Linked DNA regions of Bombyx mori. The protein of the gene in region 2 binds, or shares a complex with, the protein of the main gene of each other region. Links are inferred from orthologs where the notes say so. Each region holds a gene or a part of one and is shown on either strand. Other genes may lie near its edges. The genes, in order: enhancer of rudimentary homolog, microprocessor complex subunit DGCR8 and ribonuclease 3.

Evidence for each region.
Region 1: the proteins of microprocessor complex subunit DGCR8 (region 2) and enhancer of rudimentary homolog are in contact, whole or in part, in a crystal structure (PDB 7CNC), measured with the Homo sapiens proteins. The link is inferred for Bombyx mori from reciprocal best matches to the Homo sapiens genes DGCR8 and ERH. Residues at the interface, in NP_073557.3 of Homo sapiens: Lys107, Phe108, Ser109, Pro110, Asp111, Leu112, Leu114, Leu115; in NP_004441.1 of Homo sapiens: Val8, Pro10, Thr11, Thr18, Tyr19, Ala20, Glu27, Lys34, Met35, His39, Arg42, Met43, Phe60, Leu64.
Region 3: the proteins of microprocessor complex subunit DGCR8 (region 2) and ribonuclease 3 are in contact, whole or in part, in a crystal structure (PDB 5B16), measured with the Homo sapiens proteins. The link is inferred for Bombyx mori from reciprocal best matches to the Homo sapiens genes DGCR8 and DROSHA. Residues at the interface, in NP_073557.3 of Homo sapiens: Asn728, Ile731, Leu732, Lys734, Leu735, Gln736, Glu738, Met739, Lys740, Leu742, Ala743, Arg746, Arg750; in NP_001369437.1 of Homo sapiens: Leu984, Leu987, Phe988, Thr998, Tyr999, Thr1001, Ala1002, Ile1003, Gln1005, His1008, Phe1069, Asp1073, Leu1074, Glu1076, Val1077, Trp1078, Asn1080, Pro1082.

Annotation. Positions count from the first base shown.
Region 1 is NC_085129.1:16,203,929-16,211,378, reverse strand, and holds the start of enhancer of rudimentary homolog, read left to right. Parts: upstream 1-2,721; 5' UTR 2,722-2,990; coding exon 2,991-2,993; intron 2,994-3,073; coding exon 3,074-3,259; intron 3,260-5,185; coding exon 5,186-5,308; 3' UTR 5,309-7,450. Other genes in the region: breast cancer type 2 susceptibility protein homolog, read right to left, coding at 1-559, 1,520-1,783. UniProt on the Homo sapiens protein: May have a role in the cell cycle.
Region 2 is NC_085122.1:14,193,503-14,201,093, forward strand, and holds the start of microprocessor complex subunit DGCR8, read left to right. Parts: upstream 1-3,343; 5' UTR 3,344-3,554; exon of another isoform or gene 3,555-3,736; 5' UTR 3,737-4,551; coding exon 4,552-4,563; intron 4,564-4,635; coding exon 4,636-4,888; intron 4,889-5,829; coding exon 5,830-5,958; intron 5,959-7,591. Other genes in the region: BRCA1-associated protein, read left to right, coding at 1-93, 869-1,024.
Region 3 is NC_085124.1:7,732,247-7,739,758, forward strand, and holds the start of ribonuclease 3, read right to left. Parts: upstream 4,368-7,512; 5' UTR 4,105-4,367; coding exon 3,149-4,104; intron 2,284-3,148; coding exon 2,202-2,283; intron 1,087-2,201; coding exon 882-1,086; intron 632-881; coding exon 478-631; intron 1-477. UniProt on the Homo sapiens protein: Ribonuclease III double-stranded (ds) RNA-specific endoribonuclease that is involved in the initial step of microRNA (miRNA) biogenesis.

The DNA.
Region 1 (7,450 bases), on a different chromosome or scaffold from region 2:
CTTCGATTTCTATATTCAATTCTCCATCAGATAATTGAGAGTTAATCAGATGTTTGACTCTGTTTAGATCTTTGTTTTCTTCGACAATGGGAAAGGCTATTCTCTCAAACCTTTCAAACTTCTCCAGGTCAAACACTAATGGCAGTATTTTATTGTTTTTAAAATTTAGCACTGGACTCGGTGATCGGCTTTCTTCTGCCACTAATGTTTCGGAAACTTCAACTTTGTCCATTTCAAATATTTGACTTTTGAATATGTTATCGTTTACTTCAACAGTGTCTGTCTCATCATTCACACCAATTGATTCCGCACTCTCCTCTAAATCATTTAGGAGTGAACTCTTATCATTATTATCTTCCTTACTTAGCACTCCTCTGTGATTGTCTGCTGTATCAGTGGTGTTACCGTCGCCTATCTCGGCAATTACGTGATGAAGAGTTATATTTTCTGGTGTTGAAACTTTCGTATCTGGATGCTCCGCATTCTGCACTAAGGCAATCAGTTGAGAATCAGACACAAACTGTGTTTCAAATTGGTAAATATTTTCTTCATGTAATTCCTGAAATCATGAAACCTCTTTCAGTGTTTTAATAATGTGTTAATTTTCTTTTATTATTAATTTTATAAACAGTGAACATTCTCATGACCCTCCAGATATTAAGTCATTACCAGAGTATGCGGCATTACTGCATAATTTTTTTACAAGATGTCAAAGCCTCGATTACTAAGAAAATATCTATGTAATTCTATTGGTTGTAGGGTGTCTTGTGAGCCCACATGAGTAAGTTTCACCACCCTGTCTATTACTGTTGGAAGGCATACTTAACAAATGTTTACGATTGACTTCCACAGTGAATAAATAACATTGTGTAAAAACCAAACCTGCAAAATTATAATTTCTGTGATTACGTGGTAGGAGGTCTTGTGAGTCTACTTAGGTAGGTAATACTACCCTGCCGATTTCTACTGTGAAGCAGTAATGCGTTTCGGTTTAAAGGGTGCAGCAGCCATTGTACTGTACCTACCTTGTGAATAACATCTCGAAGTGGGTGGCAGCATTAACATTTTAGATGTATACAGGCTCCAGTAACTACTTTACACCAGGTGAGCTAAGCTTGTGCACCTATCTAAGCAATGAAAAAAAATCAAACAAAATATTCACAGTAGAACTCATTCTGATGTTGATGTACAAACTTACTACTTACAGAACTATACACAGGGCATATACCACCTTATGGATATTTGGATCTAAAATGGCAAAATTATCTGGTAAATTTAGTTAACTATTACTTTACTTAACTTTTAACCTTTTAACTTTTACTTGTAAAATTAAGAAAAAATATGGAAAAATAGCAGGGCTCAAACAATTTGGAGAAATTAATTGAATAAAGTGTAATGCTGCTCAGGACAAATAACAGATATGTTGGCAGCAGAAGGCAAGGGCTGGGCATTATTTACGTAAAGAATAGCTCGTTTTCTTATCACTGTAGGACTTTCTGACCTTGCAATATATACTGACCTTGGGATAATCTGGTAACTCAGCCACAGGGATAAACTCCTTTTTCGTAAAGTAATTATTAGTTGTATTATCAACTTTGGTCAAATTATTCGTATCAGCTTTCTGAATGGCTCTCATCTGTGATTGTACAATCTTTATAACGTCCCTTGGTTTGCTGGCCTGTTCTCTATCGCGAAAATCGTGTCCGTATAATACTGGTGTTCTATTACGTTTGTTTCGTAAAATTAATTCAAAATCTTCAATTTCCTTTACCGTTTTTTCCATTTCGATTTTTTAAGCACTGTTCGCTTAAATTACACTATGATTATTGATATTCTGTAACAAAATTGTCCTCGCATTTTGTGTTTACTTACAAATAAAATGAAATTATTGAAATAAAAGATGTTTTGAAAATAGTTTGAGCGAAAAATCCAACACATGTCAAAAGTTTTGACTTACTTATGTTAGATTTTTCAGTTTATGTGTGGCCATTGTCACTCGATCCTTTAGCCTATTTATTTTTGTTTTTTACACAACACACGTCATAAAACAAAGTCTCAAAATTTTGAGACATAAATGTGCACCTATTCCCCTATTTATTCTAAAGATAAGCTACCGGTAAAAGTGTAAAATAGCTCTTCGGTTTTGATAAAGCCGAGTACCACGCAACAAATTCCCAATGTGCACAATTCTGTTACTTTTAAACGATGTTATGCGAATATGCAACCATTTACATGTTTTTATATATTTTCAATATTCGTTATTTTATAAATCTTGTAAGAGCAAAAGCGAAATAAGTACCGTGATATCGTGGGATAGGTATGTTATTTTGATTAAGAACTAATAAATCAGTTGACTTTTTTTCACAAATTTTCGAAGCAGCCATTTGTTTCGCATTGAAGGAGTTGAGACTCTACTTGATTTCTCAAAGTGAGCCACGGAGGATACCCTTCGTAAGGTGGACAGCGGAATTCACCTTGTGAAATCTATGGTTCCCAATAACCTCACACCAATTAACCAATTCACACATTTATGCAATAAAGTGAACGTTAAAATATACCATACTCTTTAATATAATTTAATTTTCAGGTACAAGACCAACCAACCAACAAAATACGTTTAATGTTTTGAAACTATGAATTGCTGGCTCTATTTGTTACAAAACAGATAAAAAAATGATTTTTGATCGAATTTTTTATCACATTCTGGAACATAAGCCTTTTTTAAATTAAATGAAATTCAATTTTAAATATATATCAATTATAATTAAAATTATTATTAAAATAAATAATGGAATCAAAAAACACATTTTCGAACGTGTCATTAAAATTTTTAGACCCTAATATTTTGATGAGCTTTTCTGTTTATTTCTGAACGAATAAAGTTAGAAGCGCGATTTGATGGCCTGATAATTCTCGAAAGAATCCTGTCTGTTTATAAATACAACCGATCTTTTATATTATTTAATTAAAATCTTAAAGATCCTTTAAACATGGTACGTTCAGTTTAATTTTTACTTAGTAACGTTGAATTTCTGGTCCAAAATATGGCGGCAAATAGAGGTTATGATTTCAGAGTCACACAATTTTGCTGGTGCAGCCCGGTCCGAGGCCCGAAACCAGGACTTACTCAGACTACGAAAGCGTCAACGACTGCATGGAGGGTGTGTGTAAAATATATGAGGAACATCTGAAAAGGCGAAACCCTAATACACCCACTATCACGTACGATATATCACAACTCTTCGATTTTGTAGACCAGGTATCTAATTATTACTATATATACAATTGTATTGAAATGGAAACACTTGAGAAATGTGACAGAAGCATTGAAAGAACCGGCCTACCTTTTGATTATTAGTGAGCAGTGTAGATCACAAATGAACATGCTGTATTAATCTGAAAACGACTCGGAGAAGAAAGATTAAAGAATTTGTTTCTCTCACTTTCTTGACCACTTAATAATTTGACTTGTTGTTATTGTTTGTCTCTAGTATTTTGTAGAAGTCTACTTATATGTATAGTAAAAAAAAAATTACTATTTACAATTGAGATTATTGATACCATCACTTTCAAAGGAACAGTTTTCATTACATTTAAGAATGAAAGGCTATTTGAGTTAAGCAACATTTTTGCAACTTTACAGGAGAGCCATTTAAAGTTTAAAATTTAGAAAAAATATCATAACAAAAAAGCGTCTTCAGCTATTTGAATGAGTAAACTTAAAACATCGAACAGTTGATGCTAATACCAAATAAAACATTACCTTTAATTACAAAAATAATGTTGCGTATTAAGCAAAACGTCACTTAAGCCTTTCACCCCTCAATATGATAATCGGCTAATTGGTTTTCAATATGATAATTTCAATATGTTACAAAATGATAAAAACCCACCTATTTGTATCATCCTTAAGATTTTTGCATAGATACTGATGTGTTACTTATCTACCTAACCCAGAAATCTGCCTGCTGAGTTACTTCCCAAGACTCCTCAGTGATCCTCATTTCTGATCTGGTAGTAGATGCATTTGCGAAGCAGCTGCTCTTGAACTGTTTGCTTATCAAGCCTGGGCAATTGTTAGCGAATTCCACCCCTCCTGGCTGAGCCTACACTGTCCAACCTATCCTGGTGATACAGGAATATCATGTATCATGACTATGCCTCATCTGTTAGGTAGAAGATCTCATTAATCATCTGCATTTTTTGTCTCCTAAAGTTTAGCTACTCTTTGTTAGCTATTTGCGTAATATTGACAAGCGATGGACTACATGGCCTACGTTTTCTTAAAATATGATCCATACTAGAGATGAAACTGATATCCGGTATCTGGCCTATCCGGCCATGATTTCACTATCTGGCAGATCTGGCCATGATTTCACTATCCGGACGATCTGGCCATTATTTCACTATCCGGCCAGATACCGGATAGTAATTCAGTATCCGGCCAATTGGCGATCGTTTTTTTGATGATGACATTTCTTTTCAATTCAAACATAAAATCACAACGACGCGCATAAACAAAAACAAACTCACACGCGCGAACACTCGAACGCCCCCGAGTCGTCGCGAACTCCGCTCACGTGCGACAACACACGAACGCGCACGAATGTTTCCGAAAGGGCCGAATATCCGGTAAATGAATATCCGGCGCTCCGGCCTCGCAGCTTGCCGAATATTCGGTATCCGGTATCCGGCCAAACTACTATCCGTTTCATCTCTAATCCATACCATCTAATTTTGTCTACTTTACATTGCTCTTCGATTATTCATGTAATGCCCAAATTGATTCTAAACTCAGGACATGTTTTAGTACATGCACAACTTTTGTTTGCTACTGATTATTTAATATTCTGGATCTCAAACTGCACCTCCATCTCTTGTAGGATGAGTCTGATCTTGTATTTAATTTTCAATCTGTGTTTCATCAGATAAAAACAGTGGCTAGCTGTGAATGAATTCATAATTTTATTAGTGATAACCTAATCTCTGAGTAATTTTTAAAGAATTTCATTGATAATAAATATTCTTTAATATTAGTTTTCATGACTGATGTTGTGCCTTCTTATATAAAAGCAATAGATTTCAATGTGTTGATGTCTATCTGGCTGCAATCATTACATTTGCTGTTATGGTGCATTATTTTGTTACGACTACATAATAACATAACTTTTTTTTTTGTTTTCAGTTGGCAGATCTGAGCTGTTTAGTTTATCAGAAATCTACAAACACATACGCACCCTACAACAAAGATTGGATAAAGGAAAAGATATATGTTTTATTGCGTCAAGCGGCCGGACAGAGTGATTAAGATTATAAAAAAAACTCAACATTAAGAACACCGTACAGTGTAAACTTGAAAAAATACATAGTTGTGTAACATAATACAGTAAGAGAGAAATTATTATGTTTGGAAAAATTCTCTGATAAGACTCTTTAATGATCAAATTAATCTATTTTATTAGTGAAGTTCAACATTTAGCACTGTTATTTATGTAAAATCACCTACATAACGTGAAAACTATAAGTCCATCCCACATGCAAGCAGTTGTCAATGTATGTACATTATTTAAACCTATATTTGACACTTTTGTTGTTTTTTTAATTTCATGTAAAATACAGACTAGAACAAATAGTGTGCCTGCTTCCTCTAAAAAATTAGACTGTAATTGATTTAAGTAAACTAACTATGTCTTGAAGTCGATTAGTTGGTTAGGCTTTGCCCCTAAGGATGGTTGCTGTATTTTTTATAACCTTGGAAAATATATTTATGTTGTTAACAGCAGCTTCACCAATACGTGTTGTTTGAGGCAATCTAGAATTCATATATTACATTATACAACATTAATACAAATAACTAAGTCTACTGGTGACCGAGTTTGTTGTAAACCCTTTAGTGTAGGTAATATCATCCTGCCTATCTTTGCCGAGAGGCAGTTATCCGTTTCAGTTTGAGGGATGGGTCAACCGTTACACAATACAGTTAAAACTTTGACTTTATGACTCATAGTGGGTGACTGAATTCAGGTGATGTTTACGTGCTCTGATAAATGCTTTACACTAGGTGGACTCGTTGACCCATCTGCAGGGTGAACCAATATAGTCTTTTTACTTTTGATACATTAATTAAAAAAACCTAAATAAAGGAGATAAAAACTGTTTGCTTATTATGATTAAACATGAATATGTTTTTTTTTATTAGTCAAGATTCACCCTTGATTATATTGACACTGCTGTCATCTAGTTTTTTTGTGAAATGCTCTGCACATCCTTGCAAATATTGCTTCAATTCATCAAGAAACACGAAACTTCACTTTTAAGGTATCACAATAAAAAAATCGGGAAGGAGATTAATGCCAGTTAATGTTACTCATTTTGAAGTTCACTTTATGCTACAGCTACCGATGCAAAAGTAAACAAACTTTTGTTCCACACTGTACATAAGCGAAAATGTTTTTTTCTATTTAGCACATTAACTAATTAATTTGAGAGTTATTATCCAATATGGGGTTTGGAAAATGTTCAGAAAACTGTAAAAAGAGTAATAAATTCAAGTGGCCTGTAAGATTACTGTAAGAGTACTATAATTTAATTATTATGATTTATTGTTTTAGAGTCATTATAACTTGTATAGTTAGCTGATCACATCATTGACGGGCAGCAAAGGGTGGTTTTTTTTTTTAAACTAAAGCAAACAAGCAATAGATAATATCTTTTCAGATAACAGTAACGAATCATGTAGCAATTTAAATGGTTCATTTGGTTTCGGTGCAGTTTGTCGAACTCTGCCTTTACAAATTACTCAAAACCACATTCTAATGATACGGAAAGTTTGTCAGCTTTGGTTGGAACCACCGTACAACACATTTCTCCCACAAAGCAATAGTGTTCCAGCTTATGCATTTGAGACATTGCTGGTAAATATTGATCCGTTGTCTGTTTTTAGAGGCAAATAAATAGTCAATTCATCCATCAGACTAAATGCTATCGTGAAATTAATTCTAATCATTTTTCAAATTGTATTAGACTAAAAAAGAATGTAAATGATAATGTCTCATGATTAGTCTATACATGATAGGCAGGATTTTTTAACAAAGCAATTGATAAGTAACTGACAGATTGCTAGAATTAAAAAAAATAAAAGAAGTTATTGGCCAAGTTAGATTTAGCAATACCTACCTACCTAACTTATATTGAAGAAAATTCATAAACAATATCTAAAATAAGTATGTAATAAAAATAATTATTGGTGTTCACTGCCCACCATTTCTTGTCAAGCTTAGTGAGCGAGTGAGGCCTTGGTAATAAATAATAAACCGATCTGGTGATTTATCAAGGTTGAAAATAATTTATGTAACTTTTGAATTAATAATAGCAATTGGGTATTTGACTGCTTTAAGGATACGTTTAAAACTGTTTAATGTTTTTGTAGCTCGCAAACTATTTTTATGAA
Region 2 (7,591 bases):
ACGGAAGAGAGGGGCTTGGCGGCGGCCATGGCCAGCAGCCAGTCGGAGTGGCAGGCCAGGGCTAAAGAAAAGGAGGAGAATTTCACCAAAGAGGTTTGCTCCACGTTTAGCGTCGATTAGTAGATGTGCCCGTGGTCCTCGGTGAGGTCGCCGCGGTGACACTCGAGACAACTGGTCCGGTAGGCTAAGTTTGGATGATTTGATTAAATAGAAAAAAGAAAGGTTTTTTGGGTTTGTATACCCGCACCATCGTGCGGCGCGGGGGGCAGGGGGGGGCGGGGGATGGGGGTCCCACGAGTCGCTGTCAATTAATTTATCTTCGCACGTTATAAAAATGGAGACAATATTGAACAAGTCTTCAGGACGGGACGATGTAACACCAGCACAGCGCCGCGTCAGCGAGCCCACACTATAACGGCATTTGTCTTTTGGTGGGAACAGGGCATAGGAGTAATGGGACTTTTTTATTTTGATACAAAACGTTAGAAGAGAAACGTAAGAACGTAAGAATTTTATAAAACGTTCGATAGTTATTTAACTAATATTGGTTTATACTTTCGCTAAGCGTTTTATTATAAGAAACAATATTTACCTATGTAAAGACCTAATAAATGGAAATAGATTTCCCCTAAACTCCATTCTGTAGTTCCTGCTTTTTTTAGAGGACTATCTCGATAAATGTACTTTTTGTTAGATCTTTTGTGAACACAAACCACTAAGCACAGGGGCGCTGGGGAAGCTCACCCGTCATAACGATGATGTTAAGTTGCTACTAACTTATGGTTAGTCTGTAATTCGTTATGTTATCCCTAACTCCACCACAACTTTGGAAATCCGCCTCTCATGGACTGAGTGTTCGTGTGTGCAGGTCAGCGATCTGAAGGAGCAACTCCGCGACGTGATGTTCTTTGTGGAGGCGCGAGCGCAGCTGGAGCGGTCCGACGCCGTGTCGCGCGACGAGCTGGCCGCCGCCACGCTGACCGTGCCGCCCCGCCACGCCGCGCCGCGCCGCCGCCGCCGGTAGGGCCACGCAGCCGTCGTCGCGCCCCGCCGCGTCGCGCCCCGCCCCGCCCCGCCGCGAGCTCCAACACCTTCCTTTGTAATCTTGAACATTAGTATGTAAATATGAAAAATTCTGTGATAAATGTTTAGAAGACTATGTACTTGATTTATTACATATGTGTGTTTTGCTGAGATAATTAAATTTATTTGTTCCAATGCTGTTTCTAAACTAGCTCTGAAATGAAGAACATAATAAATAAATAAAAAAGAGTGTTTGTATGTTTTTTGGCCCTAATCCTTGCATTCGCTTAAGTTTTATCTCATGTAGTAAAAGCTATTGACTATTGAACACACATGTACCTATATGATGAATTCGAAGACGCAATTGTATTGCCAGGACTGGGGTTCTCAACGCAAACTATTGAACAGATTACACCAAACTGACGATACCTAGTCACATTGACTCGATTTCACCAGGATCTAATACGCACTAGTAGTCAGTTTAGTTCACCGTACTATATGCCACTCTATCACTACTTTGGATTGCTTTTCCTTCGTAGCGAATTGTCTCGCTTCATGCTTTTCAAGTATTTTGACCTTCGACGTAGCCACGCTCGTGTCCGAGTCAAATCTTGCTATTTGGCCAAAAGACAGCTTTCAGTGCCTCTGGGTGCACTTGCAATATGAACACAAACTTAGAAAAACGTGATTGAGGTCATAATTTAATGATCAAACAAGTTAATTTAATTGTTTTTTAGGTTTATTCGTGTAATGTCTCAGATTAATGGCGAATAGTTCGTGCGCACCACGACCACATATAGAACAGCTTCTATTTCTCTTTAATTAGTGAACATAGAATTTCAAATCCGTACGTCGTTTGTTTCGGGTGCCACGTAGAGGTTCTGTCCTATTATCCTGTTAAGTGTGTTATATATGATTCTATCTGTGATTTGAATATACCCATACTATTAAGGAGAGTAGAAGTAACGAGCACTATCTCAGTGTAAAAAGTGTCCGCTGAAAGAGAGAAAACAAGGTGGCGCCATAGTAGCAAGTAGAACGATTAAAAACAGCGCCTTAACCACACTTCAATTTAATTCAAGCACACTGCACTCTGTTTAAAACTGCTATACTCATATTATTTCCACTTCCTCCACTAGCGCTATTTGGGTGAGTCTTACAACAATAATTTGTTGTTTACAGGTAGACACTTTTTTGCTTGTCCTCTATACAAGATGGTACATTTCTTTTTTTCCTACCTAAGCTGAGTGCCTTGAGAGGCTATATCAGCGTAGCCTTAACTAGTAGGTGAGCTCACGGGGCTCAAACCTGATGACGTTGCTAACACGTAGTAACACGTTACTGGTGGTAGGACCTCTTGTGAGTCCGCGCAGTTAAGTACCACCGCCCTGCCTATTTCTGCCGTGAAGCAGTAATGCGTTTCGATTTGAAAGGTGGAGCAGCCGTTGTAACTATACTGAGATCTGAGAACTTATATCTCAAGGTGAGTGGCGCATTTACGTTGTAGATGTCCATGGGCTCCAGTAACCACTTAACTCCAGGTGGGCTGTGAGCTCGTCCACCAATCTAAGCAATAAAAAAAAAAAAACGAACCCTAGCAAGAGCCGTGCTTCGCAGAATCTACCGCTGGATCGGAAACGCGACCCACTGAAAAGATCCGGCCAGAAACTCAGTGGGCTGTGTCTGAGGGTTAATTTACTCGTCGAGCCCTTCGTCGCAAGCGACGGGTTCGACAGGACGATGACCGGTCTACCCTTCATATGCATGCGTGCACATGGTACTATTTATGCGTAAGCACCTCTTAGTAGTTTGCACAAATTAATATATTAGGTAGTCTGTAGCCTGTAGTTTTTTTTGGCGGGAACGCGAGAGTGAAGTTGTGTGATTTGTTTTATTTTGTCTATTTAGTGTTTCTTCAGGTTTAAATGTGTAATAATGGTGGTTTATTAACTGTTTAATATCTGTGAAAGTGCACAAATGTAGGAAAATGAAACAACGCTGCTGGGCTTGACTTCTCGGGATCCTCCAAAAAGCCCACTGGAAAAATTTCAGTAAATGACCACTATTTTACTGAAATTATATTTCATCCCATATCATCTCATCTCATTTCATTTCATTTCGTTTCCATTTCGTTTCATTCCATTTCATGCCATGTTTCATATTAATGAACTTCATTTCATTTCATAATATCATTTTTTATATAAAAAAGTTTTCATTACAAATAAAATAAGACTTGACTTAATGGTCTTAGTTACCAGGTCGTAAAATCCCTTAAAAAATTGAGGATTTAACCTATAGGTCTTAGTTACCAGGTCATAAAGTTCCCTAAAAAAACGAGGATAGCTCTTGTCTTCTGAAAATTTATCGTTATTTCCTAAAAGTCGGTACGGTACCATATTCATTCAACACTATTTTACTAAGTGCTCAGACACGCTAGCCGTTTTCGACGGTGTGTGGTTGCAAAATAAGTTTATCAGATTTCCCTAAATACATGTTTTATTGATTATTGATTAACCTTTTCAGTCACGAGCGTAAGTATCTCGCACATAACGTACGGTACTAGTAATGAAACTGAAATTTACTGTCTCTAACAATGAATATAAGCTATCACCAAGCCACATCTGATTTACATACTTATAGGTTTTTGTCGAAATATGTATCGTGAATACATACGCTTATAACCAGGTCATAATTTGCATTTTCTTTAATGCAGTGTTTGATCGTTTTGAAGGATAGCAACAGAAATTCTACAGGAACGCGTCTGCCCGGGAGCGGTTAAGGAGGTATAGAGTCCAGTCGTCCTGTAACGTTGCGGTTTTGCTACAGACTAGACTCGGTGTTTATATCAGAGGTTCTGGTCTGTCGCAATCCTGCTGAAGTCTTCATGGCCGCTTTGCACGTCTTGCTCTCGGTCCCGCTACTAACTAAGGTTTACAGCAAGTGATGGCTGAAATCCAACTGTTGGAACACATAGGATTTTAAGTGCCATCGCTATCTGTGGACTGTGTTACATCACTTTGGGTATTTAGTTAATTTCTGTACGCTGAGGTGAAAGTGCCTCTAAATGTCTATTTGATTTGAGTATTGTAATACAAAAAAATCCTGAGAAATGCACCTCAAACTACTCCAATTTAGAAATTGAATGCAACACAAAATAATATAAGTAGCTTCTTAGCAAATGAATATTTGCACATTTTTGATGAATTTTAAAAATGACATTTTGTAGAGCATTATTTTCTTTTACCATCATTGTTTAGTAACAAAAAAATTAATAGTAAGATTTTTTTGATTTTTTTTTTGAGAATGTCAATATCTAGTTATTAAGTCTGCTAAAATCAGGATATAAAATAAATTTTATAACATGGACTGTTCCAAATTTATTTTATTGAAAACCTCTCAAGAGTAAAAAGGTTTATTACATATAGCTATTTTTCAGCAGTTTGAAAGTAATGTGTAAAATTCATTAGTGTCAGAATTGTAAAGTTATTGTTATCAACGTGTATCTTAGTTTATGTAATTTAATGGATTATGCCTAACATGGTATGTTGAAGATAAATTAATGTGTTCCTATTTCATTAAAAACATTTTCAATGAACGCACGTTTTTAAACAGAATAAAATGAATGAGGAAGATCAGCATATGCCACCAGCGAAGAAGCCAAAGGTGGACAATTCGGTAGAAGATGTTGATTTCACTCAAGATGTGTCCATTGTAGATAATAACAAAGACTTTAAGATAAGTACTGATAAATATACTGATTATGTGACCCCTACTGAGCTGCAGCAGCTGCGGGAATTCAAAGTTCTAGATGAGGTGAAGTCCAACGAAGAAGATAGTAATGACGAGGATACAGAGTCCACTGAGGGTAGGCTCCTTATTAACTATGTTTCGGTGTTGTTCTTGAATCTATTGAATATTGAGTAAGTGCATGCATTAGAAGTGTTATGTGAAGTAAAAAATTAAAACCCACAAAAATAAAAATCAAGTGATTCCTTATAACAAATAGTAGATAGGTCAAATCAGTTCACCGGATATACAATAAAAAAGTATTCTTGCTTTTACTATACAGAGTAATTGATAATGGTAGAATACACAACAGAGTGAAAACATTACAATTTTGAATACTCAAGGTTTTAACACAACTTAGGAGAAAGATAATGCAGTATTTTACCTGCATTCTGTCTATATAGTAAAATTTGATGAACGAGCTCATGGCTCACCTGAAGTATAGTGATTATTGGAGCACATAGACATCTCATGTGTGAATACTGTCACCCATTAAAAATATGAGGTATTATAATAATATTACATGTCTAGGTTGAACCTCCATTGTATTGTATAACAGCTGCCCACACTTTAAATTGACACCTAACTGCTTTGTAACAAAAATGGGCTGATATGGCTACTTGCTCAGGCTCACAGCATGCCCTACTACAGTAATTATGTATATATGATATTGACAGACAACTTAGTGTTAAGATACAAAAACACTTGCAACTAATGTAGATTCAAAGGTTAAAGTTTTTTATTAGCATAAATTGATTGATGAGCTTTCATTCTTAGACCCATAGACACACCAATGTTGATGCGAAGGGCGACAGGCTCAAGTATACTAATGTTGAATCCATATGCATGGTTGCTTTACTGTAGGAATAGTTAAGAAGGAAGTGTTATAGGCATGATAATTATGCAAAATCCCAATTAAATTGTGATGATTTCGTCAATTGTTTTCTAACTTAATAGGTATATTTTAAGTAACTATTTACAATGTCGTCTACTACTTTATTAATTAATAATATATTTTAGGAAAATCAGAAGGTGTGCCCGAAGATGAAATAGAGAAAATGTTAGATGAAGATCTTCCGGAGGGCTTTAAGGGTGCTCCTAAACCTAAGGAGAAGGCATACGTTATGGGAAAGAAAATTGTTTTAGAAGGTAAGTTAATTGACTTCAACAAACACTGGCAATACAATAACTCCTTTGGTGACACTGCCCTGTCATGAGAATTGTGAGAGATGGTTTTTATTGGGCTCCTCACAAGTTATCTCTTATAGTCTAAATCACATCACAGTATCCATGCACCCAATGGGCAATTGTATGAAACTATCGCATATGGGAGTCGTGTGATACCGGTGCAGTGTTTTGTAAAAGGCAGGCTCCTACCCATCTAATTACTATTAGTTTTACAGTTTCATTTTAAATTGGTAGGTGACCGATTCATTGATTCATAACGATATTTTTATTCCCCAAATCTCAGTCGTAACCAACTATCTAAAAAGTATATCAGATACAGGGTGTCCCTCAAGAGGGTGCGTCAAGCCGACAACTGTAGGTAGTTCTTTATTAGAATAATCGAAGTAAATAGTTTTGGAATAATGAGTACTTGTACTTAGCGAACAACCTCTTCTTCCGCCAACCCTTGAACTGTGTTTTACAGAAGGTATCATAATATGATTCGTAGTTAACATTAAGGCTGGCCACATATATTAAAAGATGCGAATAGTGATATCTGAATTATTACTGGTTATACGAATTAAATGCGCACTGAATACATTTTACTCCACCAAATAGGCACTCACTGTTATATCACTTCCATTAAGCCCTTATAACACGGTACTCTTATAACGGATTTTCATATTACGCGAATTCAGTCCTTCGTATAACACGGGTATACCCCATATAACGCGGGCATTTTGCACGTTTTACTATTACTGTATTGTGAAATTTATAATGATTTGTACAGTTTATAAGTCGGCACGAGTCTTGAGCTCTGACCTTGACATGCGCAGAAGTCCATTTTTGGGTCTGTTTGGAGGAACGAGGCAAGAACGGGGGTGCGTAAGCCATATTGATTACGTGATTGGATCTACCCGCGGCACGTCACCTGCCGTCAGTTGTGATTGGTTCCCTGTGTTGTGCACGCGCATCACTGCAGCAAACTACACTTTTGTCCAATTTTAATAGCCCCACATTTTTTTTTTCAAACTCATTCAATTTTTATATATATTTTATTGATGTACAAAACAAATCACAATAATTATAGTACATTACATATTAACTAAATCGTACAAATAGTACCTAAGTCTGATCTGGATTGCAGTCTAAATAATATATGCACTAAGCAAACCTGTATTAATGTACATAGCGAGCGAGCCTCTGCATTGGTTATTGAAAATAAAATTACGAGTTCCAGGGGAAAAAAAAGCAAAAAAAATAATACGAAGTATCCACGTATGTAGACAACTACAATACAACCAACACAAAATTTCATCCCTCTCCAGGGTATAACATGAAGATTAATTCTCACACATTCAATATCGATAACTAGCCATTGTTAAATAGGATATCCTTCCTCCTATCCTTCACACAACTGACAAATCCCTTGAGTCTTGGTTCAAAAATATTGAGGTCTCCGTTTGTCTATTGTCTTTAGTAAGTATTTATCAACTTAGTATTATTATAATATTCTAATAATGTAATATTTTAAACTTTATTCTCAAAATGAAACCATATATATATATACAGTGTTAGGTAGTAAAGTAGTCAACAATACTGATAAAGAAAATAA
Region 3 (7,512 bases), on a different chromosome or scaffold from region 2:
GACTGTCTACCATTCGGTCTACAGTATCGGGTATGAAGTCTAATAAAAAAGCAGTGTAAAGTATGAAGTATCAAACATCGTCACTACAAAATCCATCATATGCAAGTCAAGTAAAGAGCTGTAGCTCTGTAGTGAGATCTATGACTTACCCACCAACAAGAAGGAATAAATATGCGAAAGAGACCTAGTGGGTTAAGATTGAAGAACAAGACAGAAGTACAAACTCTAAAATTTCGTTCTCCAGTTTCTGTCCAGAAACAATCCAAGCTTCCAGTTTGGTCTCAGCATGTATGTTCCGATGATAAGAGATGTAGTGATATTATGGGACTGCATGCCAGTCTCACTGTCGCACATTCTTCATCATTCACACTCACCATATAAACATTATCAATATTATGGTGCGATTTCGTACCAGCACTAGTTCATCATTTAATCAATTTGAATATAAAATCTAAGTACTCTTAACCTCGAACATACCACATTTCAGGGTGCAATCTCCTGGGATGACTCTGTTTCCGCTGTAGCTCTAGCATTATCCTATCACTATAGCCCTGCAAGCCCTCTTCATCTAAACATCCGTCACTTTCTGATGATGATGACGATGATGACGACGATGAGCTTTTTTCATCAACTGTCAAATACATATTTTTTTAATGTTACATTTGTGCCTTCCTAGAAATTTGTACCTAGGTCAACCTGATAGTCACAGGTTTCTCTCATTCATCAGTATTCCTAATCCATTATACAATTCTGTGAAAGTGTGATTGTGTATTTTATCATTGACACATTAAATTAGTTTTATCGGTCACCCTGTTGTAAATTTATCTATTAATATTATATAATATTTAAAATAAAATAGAAATAGGTACGTAGGTACTTACGTTTATGTTTGCACATTTTCGATTTAGGTGGCTTTAAGGGTGGGAGCTCATCAACCTCAGGCCTTGCATTACGTCCCCTCTCAATGAGTTTCTTCATGAATACTTCACAAAGTTTCTGCAGTTTTAAAGTTTGTTCGACTCCCTCACCATTTTGGACTTCTTTGTAATAGAGCTCAGCTGGTGAACTCCTATACCACATTGACGACTGTAAAAAATTTGTTAACCACTGATTAATTTCACTGTTCTTGGTACTTTCGAAATTGGCATTGAATAGACTAATTTATGTACTCTATCAGAAGTAGTGGTAAAACATTTTTTTATGGCTAATTGCCTAATCTGTGCCCGCGATCTACGCGGCTGGACGATGCACTATTATATGGAACTGCTGTAGACCCCACTTATAGATTCCCCTGTACTGTCGCCTAAAGATCCAATCCTTGCCCCAAAGAATACCCGGTAGAGGTAACAGGGGCAACCGCAGTCAACACTGCAACCAGTCGCGCACCGCTGCAACCGGTCCACCACCACAAGGCTATAAGTCAGCCAACTTGGTCGGCGGTCCCTTAAGCCTCCCAGGCTTTGTTGAAAGTTTTCTAGGGAACAACGCTGGACCAGAACCAATTTGTCAAGTCGAAGCTCAAATCACCACCAACTGGTCGTTCTTTAGTATCAAACTATGCAGCCTGCCAGAGGGGTGGTAGCGCGCTGTGCGACCTCGTTTCCTTTAATTACCCCAGACAGCTACCAAGGAAGCCTGGCCTATACCGGGAAATAGTGATAAACAATGGCAAGTTTTTTTTTGCGAGATAAACGTAAATAAACAATATTTATGAGAAATAATATTTGTAAGTGTTAAATCAAATTTTTCCAATAAAAATTCAAGTTACATCTAGTTATGATAGTTTAGTGTATTTTGTTAATTTACAGATTGCACGATAAACTTTAACAACCGAACTTTGACTTCTTCTCCTGCGGTTCCTAACTATTAACTATATTAACTAACAGTTTTATGAAACAATATTCAATATATGATTACGTTTTATATATTGAAATCATATGAACTTCCAAAAATATTCCCCTAAATTGGAAACAAATTTTGAAAAAACTTTAAGCAAATTTTTAGCAAGAATTTGTTCGAAAATCTGCACAGAAACAATATAATATGTTATGTACAATATAAATATGCAGAAATAGTTTTGGTACTACTTAGTCAGTAAAGTTTTATTTTAATTTAAAGGAAAGCATTAGTTTTACAATTTTACATAATCTTAAACTGTAAAGTCACATGCCAGGATTTTCTTAAATATATAAAATACTGACCTCTTCTCCTTCAGAAAGATGTTCTTTCGACCACTGTTCCATTTTCTGTATAAAATCTTCAGAAGTTCTACAGTAGTTTTTCCTAAAATTAAGAAAATTGTCATACAAATTAATGTGTAAATAAATAATTAATTAAATGTTAGGGCAAATACACTTAATTTATTAACTTTAAAAATGCGAAATTTAATTGTAAAAGCGAGTTTTTCTTATACCACTATTAACTGGCCATAATAAATTTAATCCAGACACGAATGTGTGTTCATCTTTTTAAGATTATCAGAAGAGGCAGATACTGTTCTGTAGTACTGAAGAAAAGTTATTTAGAAAGCCATCTACCTCAAGAAATAAAGTGAGAGTTATAAATAATGATATCCTAATACTAGTATTCAAACAGAAATTAATGAATGTCTTAGGAAAAAAATAGCTAATTCAGTGGTTTATCTTTCGGACTCACAATATCCAAGAAAATATGCATATATTTCATTAGTGTACCTGTAAACCAACCAAACGTTTTTAATAATAATATGCAAAAAATTGAAGCAAAAACTGTTGAATTAAAAGGTGGTACCAAGACAAAAAGAAAAGTACCTGCCCATGGAATGTTGCACTGGATATTTAGAGAACCTAAGAAGGGTTGATGTTAAATTGGCAACCGATCATAAAACTAAGGCCAAATCTCTATGCAGCATAAGCGGACATGCAGCATGAACCCCACACTATGTGATATAAGGGCAAGAAGAAGTGCACCAGTGAATCATAAAGTATTCAAGAAACAGAACTAGACGCTTGCCAGAAGTGCCAAAAACTACACAACCTTTCAACTCAATTGAATAAACAATAATATGTGTACACTGTGGACTCAGTACTAATTTAAGTTCTTTAGTTTTCATTTAACAATTAAGTTATTAAAAGAAATTTCTACTTTGACATCACTTTAACATAATTACCTATATTCTTCCAAAATCTTTTCACGATCTGTCATTGGTTTGCCTAAAAGTGATTCTTGTCGGTGAAGTGACATTTCTCTCGTCAGACTTTCTCTATTGGACTCCCTACTAGGAGAATGCGCCCTTCTGCTTGGTGATCTATCCCTACCTTCACATCTACTGTGGCTTCTATAATCTTTGTATTGAGATTCACTGCGGCGAACATCATATTCATATTTTCTTCTACCATATTCTCGTCTTCCTTCATAATACTTTTTCTCTCTCTCCATGTAATATCTTTCTTTCTCTCTTTCTCTATAGCTATATCGAGAAGGACTTCTGTTTAATTTTGAACTGTATCTTGGTGGACTTCTAGAGCAATATCTAGGACTATGACTTGTCGGATTCCTCTGTTCTCTATCTCTATCCCTCTCCCTCCTGCTCCTATCAGAATATCCATGTGGAGAATGTCCTATGTGAGGGGACTGTCCCCTAAAAGGAGAATGCCCTCTTTGGGGAGAATAGCTATGTCTTGATGGTTCTCTCGAATTTCGATAGATTTCTTTTTTTTTATATGTTGTACCACACAAACCATGATCTATTCTAGTTATACCAGAACTCGTATTACTCAAGCTATTGGATGTTTTGTAATTCCACGGTAGATAATCATTAGTATCTCTGTGCGATTTGGATGCTTGGTAGGAAGATACTGGATGTGGTGGAGGGACAGAATGTATATCAATGGTGGGCATAAAGTTGGGTACAGGTAACTGTGGAACAGGAGCTGGAGGCATGCGTGAATGAGGGTATGGTACTGGCGGTACTGATAGCATCGGAAGTACTGGTGGCGGTCTGGTATATAAAGGCATTGCTCTCGGAAAGATAGGCGGGGGTGGGTGGGGTGGTAACGGAATATTAACTGGAAGCCTCGGAATTGGCGGAGGTGGAACACTGTAATCAACTGGAGGAATAGACATACTGAAATGTTTTACTGCTTATCGACACATACAGTTTTTTTTTTAATTAAGAAACTTTAACGTGAATAATGATGAATTACTTCCGTATACATATTCAATCCAAATGTTGAAAGATAAATCCAAGAGTATTTAATTAATTAATATTTAGATTATTTTGAATGAATGTCTATTTGAGTTTATCAAATATCATTTTTTTTTAAAGATTTGATGACCTGGTAACTAAGACCTTTAGGTTAAGTCTTAATTTAGCTATCAATCAAAGTAAATCTCAATAGAGATAATTATCGGAGATAGACTATTAAAAAAATCGATTTTCTCCTCAAAATATATCGATATTTTTTTTCAAAAAAAGGTGGATTGCTAATTCGACATAAGCCAATGAATTTTTGGCGCCTCAAAGGCCCCTACAACATAAAGAAAGACCAATTTAGAGGAAGGCGAAAAAGAAAACGAAGAATTACAAATTACATTTGACAATAAACAGTATGGAGAAAATTTACATGTAAAAGGTTAACTACTATAACTAACTAACTGGCTATATAGATAAGCATGTTTCATTAAAGATGCCTTATATGAAAGGTCTTTAAATGATCTCAGAAAAATAATCGAGGGCGAAGTAAGGAGTAGGGGCATCATCTCAGTGTACTAAAATGTCCGCTGAAAGGGAACTAAATAAGGTGGCGCCATAGACGTGGAGAGGACGTGGAGCTTACAAAGCTGCGCCATAAACTACAACACTTCACTCTATTTAAAACTGATATATTCAGATAATTTCCACTTTTTTTTATTGCTTAGGTGGGTGGACGACCTTACGGCCCACCTGGTGTTAAGTGATTACCGGAGCCCATAGACATAGGGCAACCGTTATAACTGTACTGAGACCTTAGAAATTATATCTCAAGGTAAGTAGCGGCATTTACGTTGTAGATGTCTATGGGCTACGGTAACTACTGACACCAGGTGGGCGTGAGCTCATCCACTCACCTAAGCAATAAATAAAAAAGACATCTACGACGTAAATACCGCCACCTACCTTGAGGTATAAGTTCTGAGGTCTCAGGTTTTACAGTACAATTGCTGCCCCAATCTTTAATCCGAAACGCATTACTGCTTCATGATAGAATTAGGCAGAGCGATGATACCTACCCGTGTGGACTCACAATTTGACCTACCATCAGTAAACCACTTCGTACACTACTGCTATTTCGATGAGTCTTCCTATAATAACTTTATGTTTACAGATGGAAACTTTTTTAACTTGTCGCACAAGATGCTGCACCTTACCGTTACTTTCCGTAAGTAAAAATCATAGATCGAAAGTACAGTTTCTATAAAATTAAGAGAAAACTATAAAATAATTTACAATTATTTTTAATTCTTACGGGTACTTTGAATCTCTTCATTTTACTATAACAGAGAAAAGAAACGAAAATCAGTTTTCAGAGCTTTTTTTAGAAAGTAAGGATTACTGGTGGTCCGGTGCTGGTTTCACCGAGACAGGTGGTCGGGCAAAAGCTCAGGCAGATTTTGGTTTACGGAAGCGGTCAGATACGCAGGATATATTTAGGTGCGCAAACGTTTGCGCTCACGCAGGCGCACACCCTCGTCCTATCCCTTCTTGGATCAGTGGAACGGGAAACCGCTACGACTGAAGAAGGGGTTGGATGTTGTGTCTAGCCGACGATGACTATATGCCCTCCACCATCGCCCTAGGCCAGGGGTGGGCAAAAGCCGGCCCGCGGGCCGGATCCGGCCCTTCTGCTAATTTTATCCGGCCCGTTGAAAAATTCCGCACATAAATTTTTTTAAACTCTTATGAGATTTTGTTGACATCAGCATTAAAAAAGCATATGCGGTAAAAAAGTATATGCGGTATAGTCCTCCGGCCCGGGAGACATTTTGAAAATTACATTTTGGCCCGCGCTTTAAAGTATTTGCCCACCCCTGCCCTAGGCCATCCACCTTGCCTTGCTGACCTGCCGAGTCCGCCAAGTCACGTTGCATATCTGCGTTGTGTTGCCTTCCTCGCCAAGTCAGACTTTGTGTATTAAGCGGAAAGGAAGCCGCGTGTAGGGATGGGTATTAAAGAGATGAGGAGAAGAGGGAGTTAGGAGTAGGAAGGACAGGATACTGTAGCCACGGGAAAGTAGGTTGTGGTCTATAGTAGCTCAGGGAAGGCGGTATCGAATGCAATAATGAGACTTCGATCTTTAATACTAACTTTCGTTTTGGTTTACACGTATGAAACGAATCTGTGCCTTAAGGATATTGCGCTATTTTAATGTGAATCGATTCTTTGGACTGTCACTCGGATCTATAGATTGATCAAATATAGTCGGATTTTTTATTAGACGAAGTCAACTGACGTTTACTGTGTTGTCAGTTTTTGATGAAATAAAAATAGTGTTGTGACAAAGTGAACGATTGAAAAAACTCCTGAATTAATGAAATTGCCTCGATTGTCTAGTGAACAGTTGGTGTGCCGAATTGCCGATATCGGGTACGGGGTTCGAATTTTAGGCGTGCTTTGTACATACCAACGAGTTTTCGACGAAATATTATGTTCCTATAGTATCTACCTGTACTGAATACCGAGTGTTTTAATTAAGAAAAACATTGCGAGGAAGTTTGTAAGACTGTCATATTTCTAATACATCATATAGTTGAAATTATAGATGTATAAAATATAACAATTATAGGTAGGTAATGAAAATAAAAAAGCTGATTGTAGTTACATACTACTAGCAACATATATTGGAGCACTTTAATACAATTTTATTGTAAAATATAAATAATACTCTTTTATAGTTTGAAATTAATGATTAACTCTTCACACTCATTGTTCATTTGTGATTGAACGAGAACTGAACGCATCACTATTACTTTAAATATAGCAACATTATTTCACAAAGTGACATTAGCTACTGTCAGCTAGCTTCGTCTAATTAAAAATCCGACTATAGGTACCTACCATGGAGTTAATAAGTACCTACAACTGGAGTGCTGTCTAATGCCGAGAAATCGGTCTCGAAAGAGAATACTTTTTGGTCGCGGTGTCCTTGTCTAATGTGGTGACCATATAAAATTTATTTAAAGGACAAAATTATACACATGCATCAGTTTTGAATTTACCTTAAGTAATTCTGTGTAGCGCTATGTAAATACAAAACACGTGCTTGCAACAGTTTATTTATGTAAATTCAATTCTAAACATTTCTTCGTCGTCATGGTGACTTTTTTCGACGGTTTTTTTAGAAATTGCTTCGTAGTCGTAAATCTAGCACTGAGTTTTTTACAAACATCATTACCTCAGTTCTATTACTTAAACTTCCTCAAACTCATGTTTAACGTCCGAATACTCAACCGCGACTTAAATATTATGTTGAACTTAATTACGCAATTCCTACT